Drosophila melanogaster: one gene and its partners. The protein of the gene in region 1 interacts with the protein of each later gene in a pairwise test. Each region holds a gene or a part of one and is shown in the gene's direction. Other genes may lie near its edges.

What was found. Proteins that work in one complex are often made in the same cells at the same time.
Region 2: the proteins of E(spl)mdelta-HLH (region 1) and CtBP interact in a two-hybrid assay, tested with the Drosophila melanogaster proteins (one study listed by BioGRID).
Region 3: the proteins of E(spl)mdelta-HLH (region 1) and Cdc37 interact in binary tests that used the Drosophila melanogaster proteins (3 or more experiments, as listed by UniProt).

What each region holds. Positions count from the first base shown.
Region 1 is NT_033777.3:25,994,088-26,000,024, forward strand, and holds E(spl)mdelta-HLH (enhancer of split mdelta, helix-loop-helix), read left to right. Parts: upstream 1-3,533; 5' UTR 3,534-3,644; coding exon 3,645-4,166; 3' UTR 4,167-4,546; downstream 4,547-5,937. Other genes in the region: CG43116 (uncharacterized protein), read right to left, coding at 2,087-2,444, 2,666-2,805; E(spl)mgamma-HLH (enhancer of split mgamma, helix-loop-helix), read left to right, coding at 5,856-5,937. UniProt on the Drosophila melanogaster protein: Transcriptional repressor of genes that require a bHLH protein for their transcription. May serve as a transcriptional regulator of the Achaete-scute complex (AS-C) genes. Contributes to the neural-epidermal lineage decision during early neurogenesis.
Region 2 is NT_033777.3:13,008,376-13,015,859, forward strand, and holds the start of CtBP (C-terminal binding protein), read left to right. Parts: upstream 1-3,273; 5' UTR 3,274-3,373; exon of another isoform or gene 3,374-3,797; intron 3,798-7,484. Other genes in the region: CG8031 (uncharacterized protein), read right to left, coding at 309-771, 829-940, 1,007-1,119, 1,184-1,252, 1,314-1,395, 2,757-2,805; CG11656 (uncharacterized protein), read left to right, coding at 1,630-1,709, 1,789-2,584. UniProt on the Drosophila melanogaster protein: Corepressor targeting diverse transcription regulators. Hairy-interacting protein required for embryonic segmentation and hairy-mediated transcriptional repression.
Region 3 is NT_037436.4:1,792,222-1,799,018, forward strand, and holds Cdc37 (cell division cycle 37), read left to right. Parts: upstream 1-3,170; 5' UTR 3,171-3,478; coding exon 3,479-3,511; intron 3,512-3,571; coding exon 3,572-3,775; intron 3,776-3,956; coding exon 3,957-4,616; intron 4,617-4,632; exon of another isoform or gene 4,633-4,680; coding exon 4,681-4,953; 3' UTR 4,954-5,086; downstream 5,087-6,797. Other genes in the region: dlt (discs lost), read right to left, coding at 1-1,194; CG12020 (uncharacterized protein), read left to right, coding at 5,144-6,128, 6,193-6,308. UniProt on the Drosophila melanogaster protein: Co-chaperone that binds to numerous kinases and promotes their interaction with the Hsp90 complex, resulting in stabilization and promotion of their activity. Required for cytokinesis and chromosome segregation in mitosis and male meiosis.

The sequences.
Region 1 (5,937 bases):
TTATATTGATGATAAATCTGGTACCTTGAAGCATTTACAACATATTTTCGACATAATGTAGGTGAATTGAAAGCACCTTTTGTAGCGTAGAGTAGTGTTGTCATAAATATTTGTTGTTCAAAAATTAAAACACACAGTCAAAAAAAAAATAATTCACGATAGCTAAATTAAAACAAAGACCCAAAATATATTTCTGATAAATGCATGCCAAGAGTATATAAAACTAATGCAAGTTAAAATAGCTGAGAACCTTTAGTTATCGGTAGCTGCTAATTTAGCTAAAAACAATTACTAGGCACAGAAAATACATCAAGATTTTATATATTTTCATTGACAACTATATTTTATACGAGCCAATAGATAATTGAAGTAAGTCTAAGTAAATTGAATAATCTTCACTGCTTCTTTGCCCCAAATATCCTTTCGCCCCAATTTGTTCTTCCCTCGATATGTTTATGCAAGTTTTGTCTTACTTTCAGCTGCATGAATAACAACTACAAACCCGCGCACTAGACGTACCACACTTATCGCAAAAGTAATGCGTTTCCTAAATCTGCTTAAAAAGTGCTTTTAGAGAACGTGAAAACCCCCACAGAATGTCGTACAAAATCATAGAATATTTATATATATATGTATGTATGTATGTATAGAATGTCCAGAAGCGATGACCACTGAATGCGAAAGAAGGAAATGAACGCGTGTATTGATGTATGTAAACAGAATGTATATATTTGTATGTGTAGAAGGGAGTGGATCGAGGATACTATAAGCACCGTAGAAGAAGATATCGAATGGAAATATTTTTAAACGATTACCGATTGTACATTTTAATGCTTGCAACCCACAACTGCAACTAGGCACACCAAGTCCACCAGTTCCTCAAAGGATGACCGCGACCAGGCGAAACGGAGTTAACCATGAAAGCGATTAAAGGCAAAATCAAACGAAACGAATACAAGAACAAGAATAACTTAAAGCTTTAAGAAGACGGCATGTTGCACATGTCGTTTGCATTACTTTGTATTATAGATGAATCTCCCCGCAGCAAATGTATCTGATGGCATTTATTTTTTTTTTTTATTCTATATAATTTTACTTTTAAACCAAGTTCACCTCTCTCATTAGTCCTTACTAATTTATTTCATCAGCACATTTTCCAAGAAATTTCCGAAACACCAAAAACTAATCGATAATAAGCTTAAAACGACCCAGTCCGCTTTAAATATAATTTAGTTTTAAGCACAACAAAGATTTTAATCGAAATAGAAATGATAAGCGAAATGAATCGAACCAAAATAAAAACTTACGAACGTTACACATTTGTACCTCTTATTAAACAATAAACGAAGCAAATTAGTCCGTTACACTTACTTTCTAGCACATGGATTTTAAACTGTATTTGGCGTTATCCGCATTAAACAAGAACATTTTTTTAAACTAGATGCGCAAAAATGGAACTGGATTCTATACATTATTATTAATCTAAATGTATATGTGTGTGTTGCTATATGTGTATTAAACGAATATGTATCTTTGTAAATTACAGCCACTTGAAGATATTTATGAAATGTTAATGTCCCAAATTTATCAATGTACAACAATATCGAACAAATGAATATACTTTCAATTAAAATGTTTATTGAGTATCGGAACGATTCTTTTATTGGGAAAGATTAAAATTCGGAACGATTCTTAATTTTTGTTTTATGATCCTTGATCCTCCTCTTCTACTTTCAAAAGTAGGATGATTCATCATTGTCAACAGATTGAAATCTCTCTCTTAAAATCTTTCCCTCATGGAAATTGGCGCAATTGAAATCCCTGTTTTTGCATATGGCTGTCTTCCTTAAGTCGTCCCAATACCCATATCAAAACATTGCCACTCTGATGATCTCAGAAACCTCCCCCACGAAGAAAACTGGAAACGAAATGTACGAAATCAGTGCCATCAGATGTCAGCAAATGTCGCCGGTGCCTTGCTGCACTGTTTGTTAACTTCTCGATTTCATGGCTGCGATTGCAGCGACCCCTGGTCTTGGATTTGAACTGGAACTCACCCTCGGGCAGGTGGATTTCGTCAATGGCCCTATCCCCGAATACCCAATCTCGCAAAATGCGCCAAACAAGTGTCACAGCTGACCGAGGCCGAGGAACCGGGCAACCGGCAGCAGAAGTGCGGCACAATCCCAATACTTGTGGGAATGTCTCCAGTACACTTTCTCACGATGCACATGCACCGACCGACCCATCGCAGCACCGGCTGTTTGCCGCTTGCCTGGGTGGTGCTATGCTGCCGTCCCGTTGGTGGTGGTGGTTGTTGCGGTGGTTGCTGCTGCTGCTTCTGCTGCTGATGATGGTGCTCCGTGCCCGTAAGTGTAACGCAATGTCGCGCCAAAGAGGAAATGAGGTCTGTGTGACTGTGCGCCAAAAGGGAAGAGGCCACACTGCAAGAAAATTCGAACTCTAAACTAGCAACTTATAAAGATGGCTTATAAAGACTTCGGGATTGCATTGCTTTTAAAGCAAAGTAATGCAAATTATAGTTTAGTTACAGAATTTAATATATTATTTATGCACATTTTGCATATTTCTGAATATTATATTTCAGTTTACAAAACAACATTTTTTCCAGTGCACCTGCACGCATACAAGCAGAAACCCACACCCATATGCAACAATGGCATTGCCTCGACAAGATTGGCTCTTTGGCTTAAGTGAGGACGGCACGCATGGGGCTCGGCTCTCTTTTCTCGAGGGAAGTGGGAACCAGGGAGCACGGATGGCTGCCAGGCAGGTCGAGGTCATGTCGCTGCTGATGTCGTGTGTGCGTGTGGTGCGCTGCTGGTGGTGGTGGTTGATTGCTCCGACTCTTTCCTCCTGCTCTTCCTCGGAGACCCTTCTTCAGACTGTTGCGCCGGCGCACGGCAACAGCACGAGGAAGAGAGACGCCCGAAGAGAGCGCGCTACTAGCTCGGGCGAAGATCCGAAGAACGTGTTATTGGACCCTAGTCAATACACTGAAAATAACTTTAAGGCATTCTACTATTATGACCAAGGTTAAAGAAGCTTTGATTAAAAATAAATTAATTTCTAAATATATAAAAGTTTCTAAAGTACAATAAAACTATTTTTTCTTTGTTTATACTTATCGTTGTAAGATACTTTAGATGCATGAGAAACTTTGGTTTCCAGAATGGACATCCAAAGAGTATGCTTCGAAACTTGTATATTTTAAAAGTAGTTTATATAAAGTATAGATTTTAAAAATTGTTCTCTGCCACATATGGATTGTTTTCAGTGCAAGAAGAGAGCCTCAGCGGCTTCCGCCCGATCCAATTTTTTTGATGTTGCACACGTGCAACGCCGAGGGAATCTTGCCACAAGCAGAGAGTGACCCGATTGATGCTTCGTTGTGATCGTCGGCGTGTAGGAGCGTTGTGATCGCAGTGCGTGGTGGCAGTTAGGGGAGGATTTCGATTTCGCAAGTGTACGGCACCAGCAGCTACAAAAAGGATCAGCTTACCTTGCGGCAAGATCATTTCTCAAGTGACTACCGTGCAGTGCGGAGCGGCAGCAGCGACATCGCAACATCGCAACTTTATTTACAAACAATCACCACACCAAATCAAAACCCATTATACACAATGGCCGTTCAGGGTCAGAGATTTATGACCAAGACTCAGCATTACCGCAAGGTGACCAAACCCCTCCTGGAGCGCAAAAGACGCGCCCGGATGAACCTGTATCTGGACGAACTCAAGGATCTCATCGTGGACACCATGGATGCGCAGGGCGAACAGGTCAGCAAGCTGGAGAAAGCTGACATCTTAGAGCTCACCGTCAACTATCTGAAAGCGCAACAGCAGCAGCGAGTGGCCAATCCTCAATCCCCACCACCCGACCAAGTTAACCTGGACAAATTTCGGGCCGGATACACCCAGGCTGCCTACGAGGTCTCGCACATATTCTCTACGGTTCCCGGCTTGGATCTCAAATTCGGCACCCACCTGATGAAGCAATTGGGTCACCAGCTCAAGGACATGAAACAGGAAGAAGAAATCATCGATATGGCCGAAGAACCAGTTAATCTAGCCGACCAAAAACGTTCAAAGTCTCCGCGAGAAGAGGATATTCATCATGGCGAAGAAGTCTGGCGCCCCTGGTGAAGGGCATTCCATATATACGCAACCAATTAACATTGATAGCTTTACTACTCAGTTTCATTAAGAAACAATCCAAGTTTTCCAAGGTCTAGTGTAAACATTTGCCTCAGAATCGTATTTAGTTGGTAGTTGATTTGATATGATGTGATGTTCCTGTGATAGTTCTTAAGTTCGTATTTTGTATTTGATCTCCCATAGGCTTACTGATTCATGTATTTAATTCATTGTAATTTATTTCATCAACTTTGCAAGAGCTTCCCCACCGAGCTTCCACTTAGCCTCATTAAGAACAAATTTTTGTGTATGTTTTAAAATTATATTTTTCGCTTTACACCATTAAGTATAAGCCATGAACATTTGAATAATAAAATGAACGTAAACTGAAATTTTAAAAGCTTTATATTATTTGGAATATGAACATAAACAAGGTTGCTATAATCCATAGGTACATAGGTACAAAATGTTATAATATATATAATTATTATATTATAATTATAATTTATAAGCTCTTATTTAGCTTTCTTCGATATAAAAGATATATCAGATATATTTAAATATATTTCTAAAATCTAATTTGAAATATATAGAAAATATATATTTTCCTTGGAATTTTAATAATTTATAATTCTAAATACCAAATACCGTTATACTGTCCACTTGAATTCAAGTCAATTGAACTCTCCCCACTCCGTTTACAAATCCCTGTAATGCACCACCCATCCAACCATCCATCCATTACAAAGGTCCTGGAACGCGAGCAACTTACAGCCGAAAGTGTGTCCACAGCGAGCCACACGCGAGCAGCGCTCCAGGATCAGCATCGCTGGCCCCTTTTACATGGCGGATGGAGGGAGAGGCAGAGGTCCTGCCGGGTCGGGGGGATCGGGAAGTCGTACACGCATTAAGCGCACTCGACGCACACGAGCAATGTTCCCACAGGATCATAACAGCCGACCAACAAGTGCAGGATGCCTCTGTCCTTGTCCCTTCCTCTGCCACCAAACACGAACCCGATCCAATTTGGAATGCCAACGGTAAACAGGAAGTTGTCGAGGAATCGCAACGCCTCGTCCTTATCCTTATCCCCATCCCCCGGCGGAGGTCCCCGCTATCGTGGGAACCCCGGAGGACCCCGATGAGATGGCATAATGCAAGCAGTTCATTATCCTTATGCCCCTCACCCTGCCATGCCATAGTCAAATCATAACACACAAATCTAGAAACGGCAGCTGTTCGCTCTGCAAATTCCCATGCCCATGGCCGTGGCCATGCTCGGCTGCTTTTTGCGGGCAGGTGAGCGAGTCGATGTGAGAAACCGAGTAGGAAAGTGTTTCCCACGATCCTGGCAGCGATCCTGCTCCCTGGCCCGTTTGATAAGGGTGCCGGGGCCAACAATAAGAAATCGCCCGAACAATAAGGAGCGGTCTCAAGAAGCGGAAGGGTCGGTACCGAGCAACCCTCATGCCAGCACACGAAGCGTGTCCCCGTCCCTTTTGCTCCTCGAATGCCAGCACACACGACGACGACGACGATCCCTTTGGCCCATTTTTTGGGGGTTGTTTCTGGCCAGCTATATAAGGCCGATCACCGAAGGTCTAGCAACACACAACGACTTCGACTGTCGGAGCAGCAAGAGCTCAAAGAACTCAGCTTACATCGAAACTACAAAAAGAACAATAAGAAACACACAAAATGTCGTCGCTACAAATGTCCGAGATGTCCAAGACCTATCAGTACCGCAAGGTGATGAAGCCCATGCTGGAGAGGAAGCGTC
Region 2 (7,484 bases), about 13 Mb from region 1:
GAAAAATTAACTCAAATGGAAGTTCACATATCCTGCGATTGTGTGTTTTTATTCAATTCCCCTTAAATTAACTAAATCTATGCTAATAATCAAAGCTAAATTATCAAAATGAGCTTTATTTCTCCTTGCGATTTTAATTGTTAATTGTATTTTGTTATAATTGATAAAACAATGCCGACTAAATTGAAACTGGTTGGGGATTTTGGATTTATTGTTAAATTTTCAATTTGATGCTAGTAAATATAAAAACGTTACGCTTAAATAGCAAGAATTAGTTGCCGTCGAGTGGCTAAAATACTTGAGTGCTTTCACATCTCGAAGACGAGCGATCCGGAGGCGTAGCTAACGCTGGAGTCCTCAATGTCCTGACACTGGCTGCTCTGGGCGTACTTGAGGAACTTGAAACTCATCTTGTCGTAGCCCTGATCCTGCAGTGCCTTCACGGCGCCTAGCATTACTCCGATGGGATGGCGTCCGCATATCGTATTGTTGTACTTGCGCAAGTACTCGGTGAAGGAGTGCGGATTGAGCGACTCAATGATGTCCATGCCCTGCTTGTCCAGCTTCTCGATGGACTTGTGAATCGCTCCGCAGGAGCTGTCATAGTAGGTATAGCTGAAGCGATGGCCCCAGTGGCAAAAGTCGGAAGATATCACAAACAGATTGGTGGGGTCCATCAGATACGAGGACAGCAGGCTGCCGTACTGCGCCTCCTGTTCGGGATTGAGCGAACCCACCAGAATAGGCACAATGGTGAACTGATCCTTGTAGCTGCAGCAGTGCTATTACTTAGTAAAACGCCTCGAGCATATATTCAAATCCACTTACTCCTCCATCACTTTGGCAATGTAGGGTAAATGCATCTCGATGGAGTGTTCATCCTCGTCAGTCTTCATGTCCATCCAAGAAAACTTTCCAGTCTTCTCAAGCTCAGAGTTGACTAAATATAAATAATAAATGAAATCAATAAAACATGCAATGCACCTTGTATTTGCAATCGACATACTCTGAGCATCAATTTTGAGATCATAGAGGGGTGTCCTGTACTTCTTCGCCACGGATAAGGCGCAGCCACGCAGACGCACATGATGCGAGGGACCCAGTATGAAGATTCGCTTGCTGCAAGCAAAGGTTCAATAAAACCGGATTGTCTTCGCGGAAATCTCGAATGTGAACTTCTTACACGACAACTGGGCTAACTTGGCGATAGGCAAAGGCAGCGCAGGCTCCACAGTACGTATATCCAGCATGTCTGTGGAATATCAATCAGTAAGTTCAATGGTGCTTATTGCAAGAATTCGGTTAAATCTTACGGAGCAATGATGGCACGAGCCGGTCCATGGGACAAATCTGCGGCACCCAGCCAACGATCCAACTGTCTCGAGAGCTCGGCGCCTGAAAAGCAAAGTAAATACATTTATTAACGAATAAATAATATCGTAAACCATAATTCCCTGCTCAGGAATTGGTTTCAGTTTCGAAATCAACGAAAATAGTTGGCCAGTCGTTGCCTAGCAGCAAACAAACAAATATTTCCTGGTTTATAAGACTTTCACTAAATCGAGACTTATCACAGCAGCGATATAAAGTTATTAAATATTGATTTAAATTTTAGTTGAACATTCCGCGATGGAAACTGATAAGGAAAAACAAAGCGATGAGCTCATGAATCGCATTCGGAACGAGCTTACAGCTATATTATCTCAAGAGTAAGTTATCAAGTTACCCAATATATATATATATATATAAAAGAAGAAAAAAATCAATCCATTTATAATCCTACAACAGGGCTGCTGATGATTCCGACAAGGAGGCGTCACAGGAACTGCTCCTGAGTCCCAATCCGCTGCCCATTTTCGGGCCCATAAGGAAAACAAGGAAAGCAAAATCGAGGAGTTCCAAGAAGAACAATAGTAAGGCCTCCTCCTCGTCCGCTGGCAGTACAAAGAGTTCGTCGTCGGGTACCAGATCATCTGAAGATCGTTTAACTGGAGGTGGAGCCCAGGAGAAGCCATCGGATCCGGTCTCCACATCCTCGAGCTATTCGCTAAGATCAGGATATGACGCTCCGCCCGTGGAGGCCAGTGCCCGTGCCGACTTCCTTGAATCGCAAGCGGCCAAAAGCATCGACGAAGATGTCCGGAAGATGCAGCTGGAGCTCAAGCAGAGCTACGAACTCTTCCAGGGCATTGGCGAGAAATTGGAGTCGGTTAGCTTCACGGGCTTGAAGGACCGCATACGGGACCTGCACCTAAACGAATCCAACAACGAGTTGGGCAAAGCGACGACTGCAGAGCTTCAGATGATGTTCGACCAGCGTTTCCTGCAAAATCGCCTGGACAAGCTATCCACGGACGCCACGCAGGGATTCCGTCGGCATCCCGGCGAATTCGGCGACATACCCGAGCTGAGCACCTTCTTCCAGGCATGCACTCAGTTGGAACGCGGACTGGATGCACTGCGTCAGCAGCGGCGGCGCAACAGCGAGCTGGAGAAGCGTCTGTGCTGGGCCACCGAAATCGCATACGATCGCATGGACGAGATTCGCAATGCGGTTGGCTCGGATCCGGAAAAGAACTTCTGAATTGGTGACCTGTAGTTACATTTTTGGTTCACCCTAAGGTTCATTACCCGCACACAAACACACACACAGGCAAACACGCACAGGTGCAATACATATGCGTTTATCCCACACCCATAGGCGATGCAATAATTGATTGTGTTATCTTCTGGGCCGCAGCTGGGTTGTTACTCACCCGAGTCCGTGTACCAGCTGCCTGCATGGGTTGCTCTTCTGGCCGACATTTTGTGCGAGATCCCTAATCGGTCTGTTTAGTTAGTAAGAGCTATTAACTGGCCGTTACTTGTAGAAAAAACGAGTTCTTTGTTATTGGTACAGCAGTGTGACCGTCGTCTTGTTTTTGAAATAAACACGTTCTCTGGATTCGCTGATCAGCGGTCACACTTCTTCAGGGCTGCATTAAGTACTTAAATATCGTTTTTTTTTTGGTATAATCATATATACCATTAATACTTTTTTATTATTCTAAATAATAAATCACACAAATAAAATACAATACATAAGGTAACGTAATTTTATTTAAGTGTTGTTTTTTATTAATTTCCATAAATGAAATCGCATAACATATACAACTGAAACTCACGGAAGTCGAAAGTCGGAATTCTGCAATACCAACATTTCAAACTATACCATAATTCTTGCAGTTTGCCTGCGCGCACCGAGGTATTTTCGAACGACCCGTGTGCGGTCACACTGTTCGCATAGCGTCATTGCTGTACTAAAACCTAAAAATCCGCCGTGTTCGTATTCCGCCATTTTGAAAGCTGCGAGTGGAATTTGGACGCGTTGCTGGTAAATTAATTGTGGGAAAACTGCCCAAAAAGTGCATAAAATTTGTGAAAAGTGGTCGGCAACGGTGCATGAGACCCGCCGCCAAGTGTTTGTCCCCGAAAATTGTGTGTGGCCGCGTTTTTGGCACGTGAATTTCTTGCCCAATTGTGAACTCGCAAAAAAAGAAAAAGAAAAGAGAGAAGAAAACCGACGCCGCCGTCGCCGCCGCCACAAAGGAATAGGCGAATAAGCGAGAGAAAAAAAGGCGAAAACGAGAGCTGAAAATCAAATTGTGCGCCGCTGATTGCGTTTCAGCTATTTAATAATACCACAATCGAAAATCCGCGGCAGCGGCGATTTTTCCACGGATTACTACACCATATATTTCCCATTTGCCTTTCCGTTTGCAACGAGTGTGCGCCTGTGCCTGTGTGCGTGCGTGTGTGTGAGTGTGCGATAAACGTGTACAAGAAAAATTTAAACGTGCAGAATTCTGATGAATTTTAAAGCGGAACTGCTATTGCCTGTATAGGTGATGCGGGTGTGCGTGTGTGGGTACGCACACACACATGACCAAGTATTGTTGCGGTTTAATGCAAAAGTCGAGTGAGTGCGTGTGTGAGTGAGTGAGAGAGAGAGAGAGAGAGCAATGCCTGCCATATTCTATGCAAAACATAAATAAAATTGTGCAATAATTTCCCCGCACACGCACACAGCCACAGATACATACACTCTCTTTGTAATTTATATTTTTTTCCGCCCGCCTAGTGACAATACACACGCAAGGTTCACTGCGCAACGTCCCCCTTTTCTCAAGCACCCCCCTTTTGCCCACGCCACTGCAACATGCTGTCTCATCGTTGTTGTTTTGCCGCCGCCACATTTGGTGCGACAGAGAGAGAAAGAGCGAGCTAGCGCGAGTGCAAGAGAAAGGGTGGGAGGGAGAGGCCAAAAGCAACGAGTTTGAAAACCAACTAAAGCCTCATGTTGACACATTTCAACCGGGAGTTTTCGTTCTTTCGCTCGGATTAAAAGCCTTTAAAGGGTGAAAGTGCTGCTTATCGTTTCTTCTTCGCGAACTAAAGCTTTAAAAGTATAAATAGCTTTTATTTCCTGCGCCCGCATATTGATTGCAAATTACAAGCGCACACACTTACTCAACAACCGTTGCGATTGTTTGTTTGTGTGTGTTTATGCCGATTTGAATACACAACCAAGTGAAAAAGTTTGATCAACTTACGAATGTCCATTCAAATTGATGCTTGTTTCTAGTTTTCTTACAATTTTTGCGCTTGTCGTGTTTTTGTCATAGCTTCTTCTATCTCTATCGCTCTCTCTCTTCTCTCTTGTTCGTTCGCCCTTTCACTGTTCGACGTGCCTGTACCCATCACACACATACAAACGTATACGTCATACACACACACACACGCACACATGAAGAGGCAGACAGACAAGCAACTCTGGGCTCCCCCCTCCCTAAACCTCTCCCCTCCCAGCCACATACTGCCGCACTTGCAACGGGAATGTTGTTGGTATTGCTCGCAGTGCTCAAAACTCCGAAGAGGATTACAAATGGTGTTTTTGTTTTTGCCCAAAAACGGAAATACAGACAAACTTCTGCCACATAAAGAGTTCAAATTATAGCGACTGTTAGTTGTTTAGTCATTTGTTGTATTCCCCGCAACTTTTTGCGCACTTTTGGGGTATCTAGACTGATTACAAACCCTTAAAAGCAGCAGGCACAATTGAAATTATTGATTGCCTTAAAGTTAAAGTTAATTGCGGTTATGAAATTTTTGGCTAATTGTTCGTCATTGGGCAAAAATGAAATGCTGAGGAATTTGCTTTATAAAAACACTTAAATTTATAGTTATTAGCCACTGAATTTGTATTGCAGTCGTTAAGAATTCTTCCTACCCAATGTAGTTTTCGCTATAGAATAAATAGAAATATGGAAATATGTGGCAGAGAGAGCCGCTTTTCCCGTTTCCACTTCAATATTTGCATTGCCATGGAATTTTCTATATATATAGTCCATCGATAACTGTACATGTTGCTGAATTTGTTGTTACTAGTTTTTTTGGCGCAACAACGTTTTCCGCTTCTTGTCACTGCCCTTTTTTGGCAAATAATAAATTTGATTGTGTATGGGCTGCCCACTCCCACTAGCTAACGGTTATTTATTGTCAATGCCAGGCGATGCCGCCCACTGCCACGCCTCGTACGACCCCCCCCCCCAATCCGTTTGATGCTCTGTGTTTTTGCGCAATGTTTGTTGTTGTGTGTTTGCCGCCGACTGCGCGCGTGAAAAAATGCACACCTGCCCAAAGAATTTCACACTTGGTGGTGCACGGGGCGCAAAACAAAGCGAAAGCAGCCACCAAAATAGCAGGCAAACGTTTAAATTTAAACACAAAAGTCCGAGGAACTAAAATTCGACCAGAAACACAATGGCAGCCATGTGTGCCTCATATTCTTGTATTTTTTTTCTGCGCTCTATCTCTATCGATCTGAAAGGCAAATACAACGCAATTCGGTTGATGGTACAGGCTCTAATACCCTTAAAGCTAAATTGTCCAAGTTATAAATTTGTTGAAAATGAATGATAGTTTACAAATTCGGATGTCTTTCATCTATTCAGCGGTGGAAAGATGTATTTTGGCCAGCTAATCGTTGCATGTTTGATGGCAAACCTTTCGCCATATCTGCTATACTCCTGCGCAAGCACTTTTCAAATGAAAACAGAAAACACACACTTTCAGATGGCTCAGCCAAATTCGTCCAAAACAACAGATGCAGCGATATGGCAACAATAATAAATAGAAATAGCCAAGCAGCCGCAAAACGCAGAATCAGCAATTCGTAAGCGTGCGAGGCAATAATATATACATATATATATATATATAAATTGTATTTCATTTGATTTTTTCCCACTTCTGGTCACTTGCCACTCGGCTATGCTGGCTTGCAGTTTTTCGATTTGCGTCATTCGCAGACCGCGCGCACCACCAATCAATATTATAAAAAAAAAAAACAACAACAACAACAACAAAAAACGAAACAAGACAACAAAAACCAAAAAACAAGTGGGAAATACGAGAAAAGGCGAGGGAAAACAATGGGAAAGCAACGCAGAATGGCACCTACATGCATACATACTACATACATAGACAAATGAAAACATTGGCCAATGTCAGGCAAACAGTTTAAGTGCTTTCGTTTGGTAGTACAGTAAATACCATGGCTAAATTATTGCTGAAGGTCCGAACTCGTTCGTAATCGCGTTATCTGCACTTTTCCAACCGCGAAAACCGAATATCAGCGAAAATGGCCAATTCGGAAATTTACCCAGTTAATGCGGTGTGTTTATATACTTGTAGGTGGAATAATCTGGCTAAAACAATCTCAAATTTAAATTGGAAGGAATTTGGAAAACGCAATGCTCTGATTTTCTATTGAAAAATGGTTTGACTTTTTATAGCTTATTGGCAAAAAATGTATTTAACATTTAGATATTTTCGCAATTCAACGATTTCTGGTTTGAATTTCTTACATTTTCCATGTTCTATTTTCATTTCTACACTCCCATCTATAAATTCTATAAATTCACTTATGGCATTGCGGGCAACTGATTTATGATGTAAGAGTATGAATACCCATACCCACAACTTTCGCCGGCTTGAAAAATCGCATTTGCGAGTGCCGAAATATTGTGGCATTAATATCGCGCTTAATGTGAATGGCCATCACTTTAGTTACTGCGAGCCACGAGGCTTTTGGCGTCATCTTGAAAGCCGGCTTTAAGTGCATATGCATGAAACAGAAAGCTGAAATGGTTAGCCAGCGTGGTGTGGAGGGGACGGGGGCTGCTGGCAGGAAAAGCGCGGGAACGCAACGTCACGACAAAACGGCAGCAGCCGTTAATTCAGGCAAAAGTACAAAGAAAAGGGAGCGGGTGGGGTAAACAAGTTACGAGCACCGACGACGACTGACTTAAAGTTGAAAAATCGCTGGCAGTCGTCGCAGCAACGACGCATGAGCAGTTGCACTTTGAATTTTCCAGTTGCAGTTGTCGATTTCCCAACCCTCGAGCAGCATTTTCACCATTTCCCCGCAGCAGCATCTCAACTGT
Region 3 (6,797 bases), on another chromosome or scaffold:
CAAGACACTCAAAGTCCGTTTGTCAAGCTGCAGAAGTAACTTTTTCTGATTCTCCAGCAGTTTTGCGGCAAAGTATACACAACTTTTGTGCTGGGTGAGTCCCTCCAAAGCACTGGGTACATACGATTTGACGGGTGATTGGCCAAAATCTCGCACATTTAGCAGATGGACCACAAAACTAAGTTCACGTAGTACGTTGGGCACCAAATTGAGGTCCATTAACAGGCTGTAAATGGTTGATAGGAGCTGCAAGTGATTGGCATTAGCCACACCCTCCAAGCTAATGGCTTCCTCAGGGAAAACCTCATCTTCGGGTGTCCTCTCCTGTTGACTAACATTCACAGGCGCTTCGCTTTTGATTTCCTGCTTTTTGAGCAACAGGAACTTGCGGGCCTCCATTTCCAGGGCTGCTTCTTGGCTTCTATCGAAGATTTCGCTGCTCTGCGAGATTCGCCAAAAGTTATTTTCATTGCTAAAGGAACTGGTGTCTCCGAAAGAGGAGCTGGCCGAAACATTCTTGCTAATGGTCATGGGTAAGACACGTCGCCGCGGCTTGGATTGTGGCGTGGCTCCAGCTCCAGTTCCTGAACCCAATGATGCATGTTGATTTTGCTGCTGTTTTTGGGGCGTGATCTTCTTCTTAGATCGCTGATGGCTCTGGATAGGTGTATTGACCAGAAAGTTGCCCAAGCAGATGCTGTGCCCTCCTCCTGCTCCCCCACCGCCGCTTCTGTTAGGCGTGCTGCAAAACTGGGCGCCACTTCCTGGCGTTGATCTTCTGCCCTGCGGCTGCTGGGGAGCCGGAGTAGTATTCGAAGTGGAGGACATACTGCAGCTGCTCCGGCTAAGGATCGAGGACTCATTGAGCTGCTGCTGTTCCTCCTCCTTGACCACATCGGCGACCGGCGGCTTGAGCTGATGGATGGGGGTCAAGGGAAACACGGGTGTCTCCGAGTTTTGCGAATAGTAGTACCTCTTTGTGCTTTGACGCAGTGCACCTAAAAAGTAGGTGGCGAAGTCCTCTAGTGTGCAGTTACTCTGGTTATCACCCTTGCCAACCTTTTTAAAATAGGCGACGAACTTTTGCTCCAGCTGGTGGTGCGGCACCTTCTCCAGTTGCGCAAGCAGCTGCAGCAGATGCCTCTCTTCCGGCTTCGTCATTTCTGTATCTGACGCTTTGAGCTCTGCAGTCATGTTCCGGTGATCTATTTTCTGTGCCTTAGCTCGAGCTATTTTCAACCTTTGGCCCTCCTCCAATCCCTCTCTCCCTTTTGTTTCCCTGCAACGGAAGAGGAGAGAAGGGAAATGTTGGCTCGGCTTTTGTGGGTTTCGTTTTCTAAGTTATTTTTAGAGTTGTTTGGATGGGTTGAAGTTGCAGGATTTTCTTTTTTTTCTGTATAAACAATATGTTTTCACACAATAAACTAAATCAACGTAAACGACACGTAAAATGCTACGAGTTGTGATGACTTCATCACCTGTACTAAAAGTTGTAATAAGGTTATAGTTAGGCGGGAAATTATGAGGAATATATTTGTAGGTCAGGTTTGGAAAAACGCACATGTATGCTAAACAAATTTGTAAAGGTATTAACCTTAACAATAAAAGAATAGTAGGTTTCTAAAAGTATCTAAATATTGCATCAACAATTTTTTGTTGTTAAAGTATAAATATTTTCTATGAATTCTTATAAGATATCATTTATTTTAATTTCCAAACTTAGTTGATAGCCCATAAAATCACATTTCTAATAGTTTCCAATTTTTAGTGCTAAAAAAAAAAAAAAAACAACTCAGATAAGAAAAGCAGAGAAATATCTGAAATTCTCAGCTACACTACACAGAAGGTAAAATAGTTAAGATTGGCCAAGAATGATTAATAGAGAAAAGCCAAGGAGTGAATTTTTGTCAATAGAGTAACATGAAATACAATTAGCACTAACGATAAGGAAATCCGTGGAATGTCCGGATTTTAATACTTAATACTTCAAAATCGCCCCTTTAGAAGGGGTCAGCAGAGCAAGCAATGACATCATTTAGGGGAGAGGGTGGGTCAGCATGCAGAGAAACAAACAAACAACACTCTTTGCCACAGGAAATTGAAATAAATCAGAGGGAGATGGCAACAGCCCAGGGCTTGGCAGCCATACAATGTTGGAGCTCACATACAAACACACAGGCAGGCCAATTTAACTGTTTATCGCGGTGGCAAACAAAAACAACATCAGAAACGGCAATTGCGAGAGATCGCACCTCAAAAAGAGAGCGAATAGAAAGAGACGGAGAGAGCGAAACATTAATTGAAGTGTCTATCAGAAAATAGCAGAGGATGACGTAATGCGTACGCTTTGGAATTATGAGCAATCAATGAAGAGGCACAAAAAATCAACTGGTACGCAAGACTACTACGAACACGGAATCGCCTGGCAAGCAAACAAAAATATCCTATGCAAACACAGGCCTTCAAGAAAGTCAAGGACACTTGCCCACCCAAAACTTTGGCATATGTAAGGCAAGCACTTTGCTTTTTTTTTATTCGTACTTAAATATCTTGGAAACACAAACAAGCAAAGAGAGGGAGAGTGTGCTCTCCCGCTTTCTCTCATCTGAAGTTGCCGCACCACCACCACCACCCGATGACGTACACACACACAGCGTTCTCTACTCCTGCGTAACCGCACACACACATGCACAACAGGAGCACCAGATACTTTTTCTTAAGTTGCAATTGGAGTCAAGAATTTTGAAAGAAATTCAAAATTTCTATTACTAATCAAGCAGTGACATTGCACAGCATAGCTTTTCAGTTATGGCCAAGACTTTTCTCTCACTTTAGCCCCGTTAATTGGATTTTTGTGTTGCCTTCGAGGGTGTGGCGTTGACCCGAAAAATTTTCACTTTGCACGCACACCGAATTTCAATTGCATTTTGAACCCAACTAACAGTGAGCTACGGACGAAAACTATGTAGAAACTTACACTTTGATGGCAATCTATTTGTTCACAGTTACTTTGTTAATTTAACTATTGATTTGCAGTAGTTATTCGTAATTTTCACGGAGCGCCTCTATTTCACGGGACCGCAGTTTTTTTCAATATGTCGGCCGATTGGCGCAGAACATTGACATCAATATCGCGATTTCTATCGATGTCAATCGATTATAAACATAGTTCTCTTTCTGGTCGCTTTGGCGCCTTAGTCATCTCATTATTTTTCTAGTAGATGTAGATGAGTAGTAGTAGATGATGTAAATAAATTAAAAACGACAGGGTATTTCAATTCAATCTGGTGCACTCATGCATGACTACTATTTCCTAGCGCGGCCCCAGAGTAAGCGGGGCTTATTATGGTATTATTCCGCAATAGCCCTGCGGTCACACTAATTTCCAGAGCAATCCAAAAAAAGGAAGCAGCCGAAAAAGAACAAAAACCTGCAGCATTTACATTCAAATATAAATCCGAAGCAAAGAAACAGCAAAATGGTGGACTACAGCAAGTGGAAGAACATCGAGGTGAGCCCACTGCTGGGTGCCAACCCAAAAAGTCCTCCTAATCGGCACACTACCTTTTAGATTTCGGATGATGAGGACGACACTCACCCAAACATAGACACGCCTTCTCTGTTCCGCTGGCGGCACCAGGCGCGCGTGGAGCGCATGGCGGAGATGGACCACGAGAAGGACGAGCTTAAGAAAAAGCGCCAGAGCTACCAGGCGCGCCTCATGGACGTCAAGGAGCGGATCTCAAAGAAGGATGGCGACGAGGAGGCCCTGAAGGTGGGTCATTGCACCGAATGCACTGCGCACTTGTTGCTTAGGCTAATGCCTGGTCTGGGAGTTCCCTATGTTCTCAATCCATCTAATTTATTCTTATTGTCAAGCTTATGATTGACTATCATCCTAAGTGGCCATCCATCTTTCATCGCAATGCTTAATCCCTAATTTGTATCGCCTACAGAAAGAGCTCGAAAAGATCGAGGCCGAGGGCAAAGAGCTGGACCGCATCGAGAGCGAGATGATTAAGAAGGAAAAGAAAACACCCTGGAACGTGGACACCATCAGCAAGCCCGGCTTTGAGAAGACCGTAATCAACAAGAAGGCCGGCCGCAAGCCGGATGAGAATCTGTCCGAGGAAGAGCGAGAGCAGCGCATGAAGCAATTCGTCAAGGAGAACGAGAAGCTCTGCCAGCAGTATGGCATGCTGCGCAAGTACGACGATTCGAAGCGGTTTCTGCAGGAGCATCTTCACTTGGTGGGCGAGGAGACGGCCAACTACCTAGTCATTTGGTCCATCAACCTGGAAATGGAGGAGAAGCACGAGCTGATGGCCCACGTGGCGCATCAGTGCATTTGCATGCAGTACATTCTAGAGTTGGCCAAACAGCTGGACGTGGATCCTCGCGCCTGTGTCAGCTCCTTCTTCTCAAAGATCCAGCACTGTCATCCCGAGTACCGCGCGCAGTTCGACAGCGAGATCGAAGGTTTCAAAGGACGTATCCAGAAGCGTGCGCAGGAGAAGATCCAGGAGGCGATAGCCCAGGCCGAAGAGGAGGAGCGCAAGGAGCGCCTCGGACCTGGTGGTCTGGACCCAGCCGATGTCTTTGAATCCCTGCCCGATGTACGTTCTAGTGATTCACTGTATGGGAATTACTTGACTAACTTTTCATGTATTTGCTCCGCAGGAACTAAAGGCCTGTTTCGAGTCCCGCGACGTAGAGCTGCTGCAGAAGACCATTGCGGCCATGCCCGTGGACGTCGCCAAGCTGCACATGAAGCGTTGTGTGGACTCTGGTCTCTGGGTGCCCAATGCCGCTGACTTGGAGGGTGACAAGAAGGAGGAAGATGACTCGGATGACGTCGCCGGTGGCGAGGAGAAGACCGACGATGCCAAATCAGAGAGTGCAGCCAAGGAGGAGCCCATCTACACTGGCGTCAGCACCGAGGACGTTGACTGATCGCCGCCACGTTTCCATCTACACCATAGCTCTAATCTTAATGTATTTGTCCACAAGCATATTTCATCCATAGCCAGATCCTGCGTCAGTTGAGTTATTGTATATAATTTGAATAAATTCTCAGTCACACGTCAAACATTCTGTGAACACTTCTGCCAGTTGTTATACGCTTCGACTCCGAATAGAAACAATGAACCGGCCGGAGCTGGACTACTACGCGGTGCTGGATCAGCCCAGAGGCGCCACCAAGGAGCAGATTACTCTGGCCTACCGCCGCCTGGCCATTCGGCTTTGCCCACATCGCGACAAGAAGGACGAGCAGGACTTTGTGCCGCTGGCCCAGGAGGGTCGTCTCACGCACCTCTCACCCATGGGCGAGCCCAGGCAGTGGGCCTACGTCAACATGGCCTTCGATGTGCTGGGCAACGATCTGTACCGGGCCATATACGATCGCTTTGGCGAGGCGGGTTTGTTCGAGGGCGTCATGCTGCCGAACGGATACTTTCCGCCCTATCAGTACGACGGCGACCACATGAAGGTCTACGAGCGGGTCTTCGGTAGCTACTCGCCGTATGCCAACGTGATCGATGCGATCTCCAATCCACCGAGCTTGTACGCTACGCGCCAGCATGGCATTGGCGTGCGTTCCAAGGACGCCAGTACGGAGAGGATCATCGAGCTGTCGCTGGAGGAAGTACGCACTGGCTGCGTCAAGCTGATGAACGTGTGGCGCCAGGAGATCGTGGACGCCAAGGAGTCGCGGCTGGAGAAGCGCAAGCACACCTTAAAGCTGAACATTGCCCCGGGAACTACGGCCGGAACTCGCTTCTGCTTCAAGGAGGAGGGCGATCGCTATCCGGCCACCATTCCGGGTGATATTATTTTCATTGCCGCCGACAAGCCGCATCCGGACTTTGAGAGGAGAAACCAACACGACCTGGTCTACAGGCAGTCTATTGGCCTGTGCCAGGCCTTCACCGGCTTCACGTTCTTCATTTGCACGCTGGACCGGCGCCAGTTGAAGGTGGTCATTACGGACGTAGTGCAGCCGGGATACACCAAAGTGGTTCCCCTCGAGGGACTCCCCAAGTGCCGCAATTTGGATGCAGTTACGGCCATCAAGGAGGCCAACAAGAAGGTGGAGCAGTTCGGGGATCTCATTATAGAATTTGATTGTGGGTTTTCCTTTTCTGTTGGAGGTTTCAATAGTTTCTGATAGTTTCTCTGTTTCTTCTGCAGATATCTTTCCCAAGTACTTGACTCCACATATGAAGCATATCACTCGCGAATTCTTCCGCGAATTCCGCAAGCTCGAAATAGAATTGGAGGAGGAGGAGGAACGTAACATGGTTTGATGGCAGACACCTTATTGTTTTTCCGTATTTGGAACACAGATATTTGTGCGTACAGAGAAATTAAATTCAAAATTTGCGTTTAAAAGGATAGATGTTGTTGGGTTATTTCGTATAGCCATATTACATACGAGCACATGCAGACTATATTCAAAAATCTTAGATTTAATTAAATTAGCAGATGTAACGGTCGAATTTGAATTGATTTTGAAAAGGTGGCAACTGTTCCGATTATGTCGATTGCTTATCGATGCACAACGCAGCCGCTCGGCAACCCTGTCCATCAGCTGTTTGTGAAAAGAAAATGCATTTGGCATTCCATTTCAGAGATAATTAAAAATCAATTACAGCAGCAGCAGCAGAGCAAGTGGCCACCGAAAAGAGTGCATAGGAGAGGGTAAACAACTCGCTGCATCCAAACGGCACAGTAACTGATCCGAAGCTGTCCCACTTAGAGCCCAAATCGAATTACCCGTTTTGCAGTTTAGGACA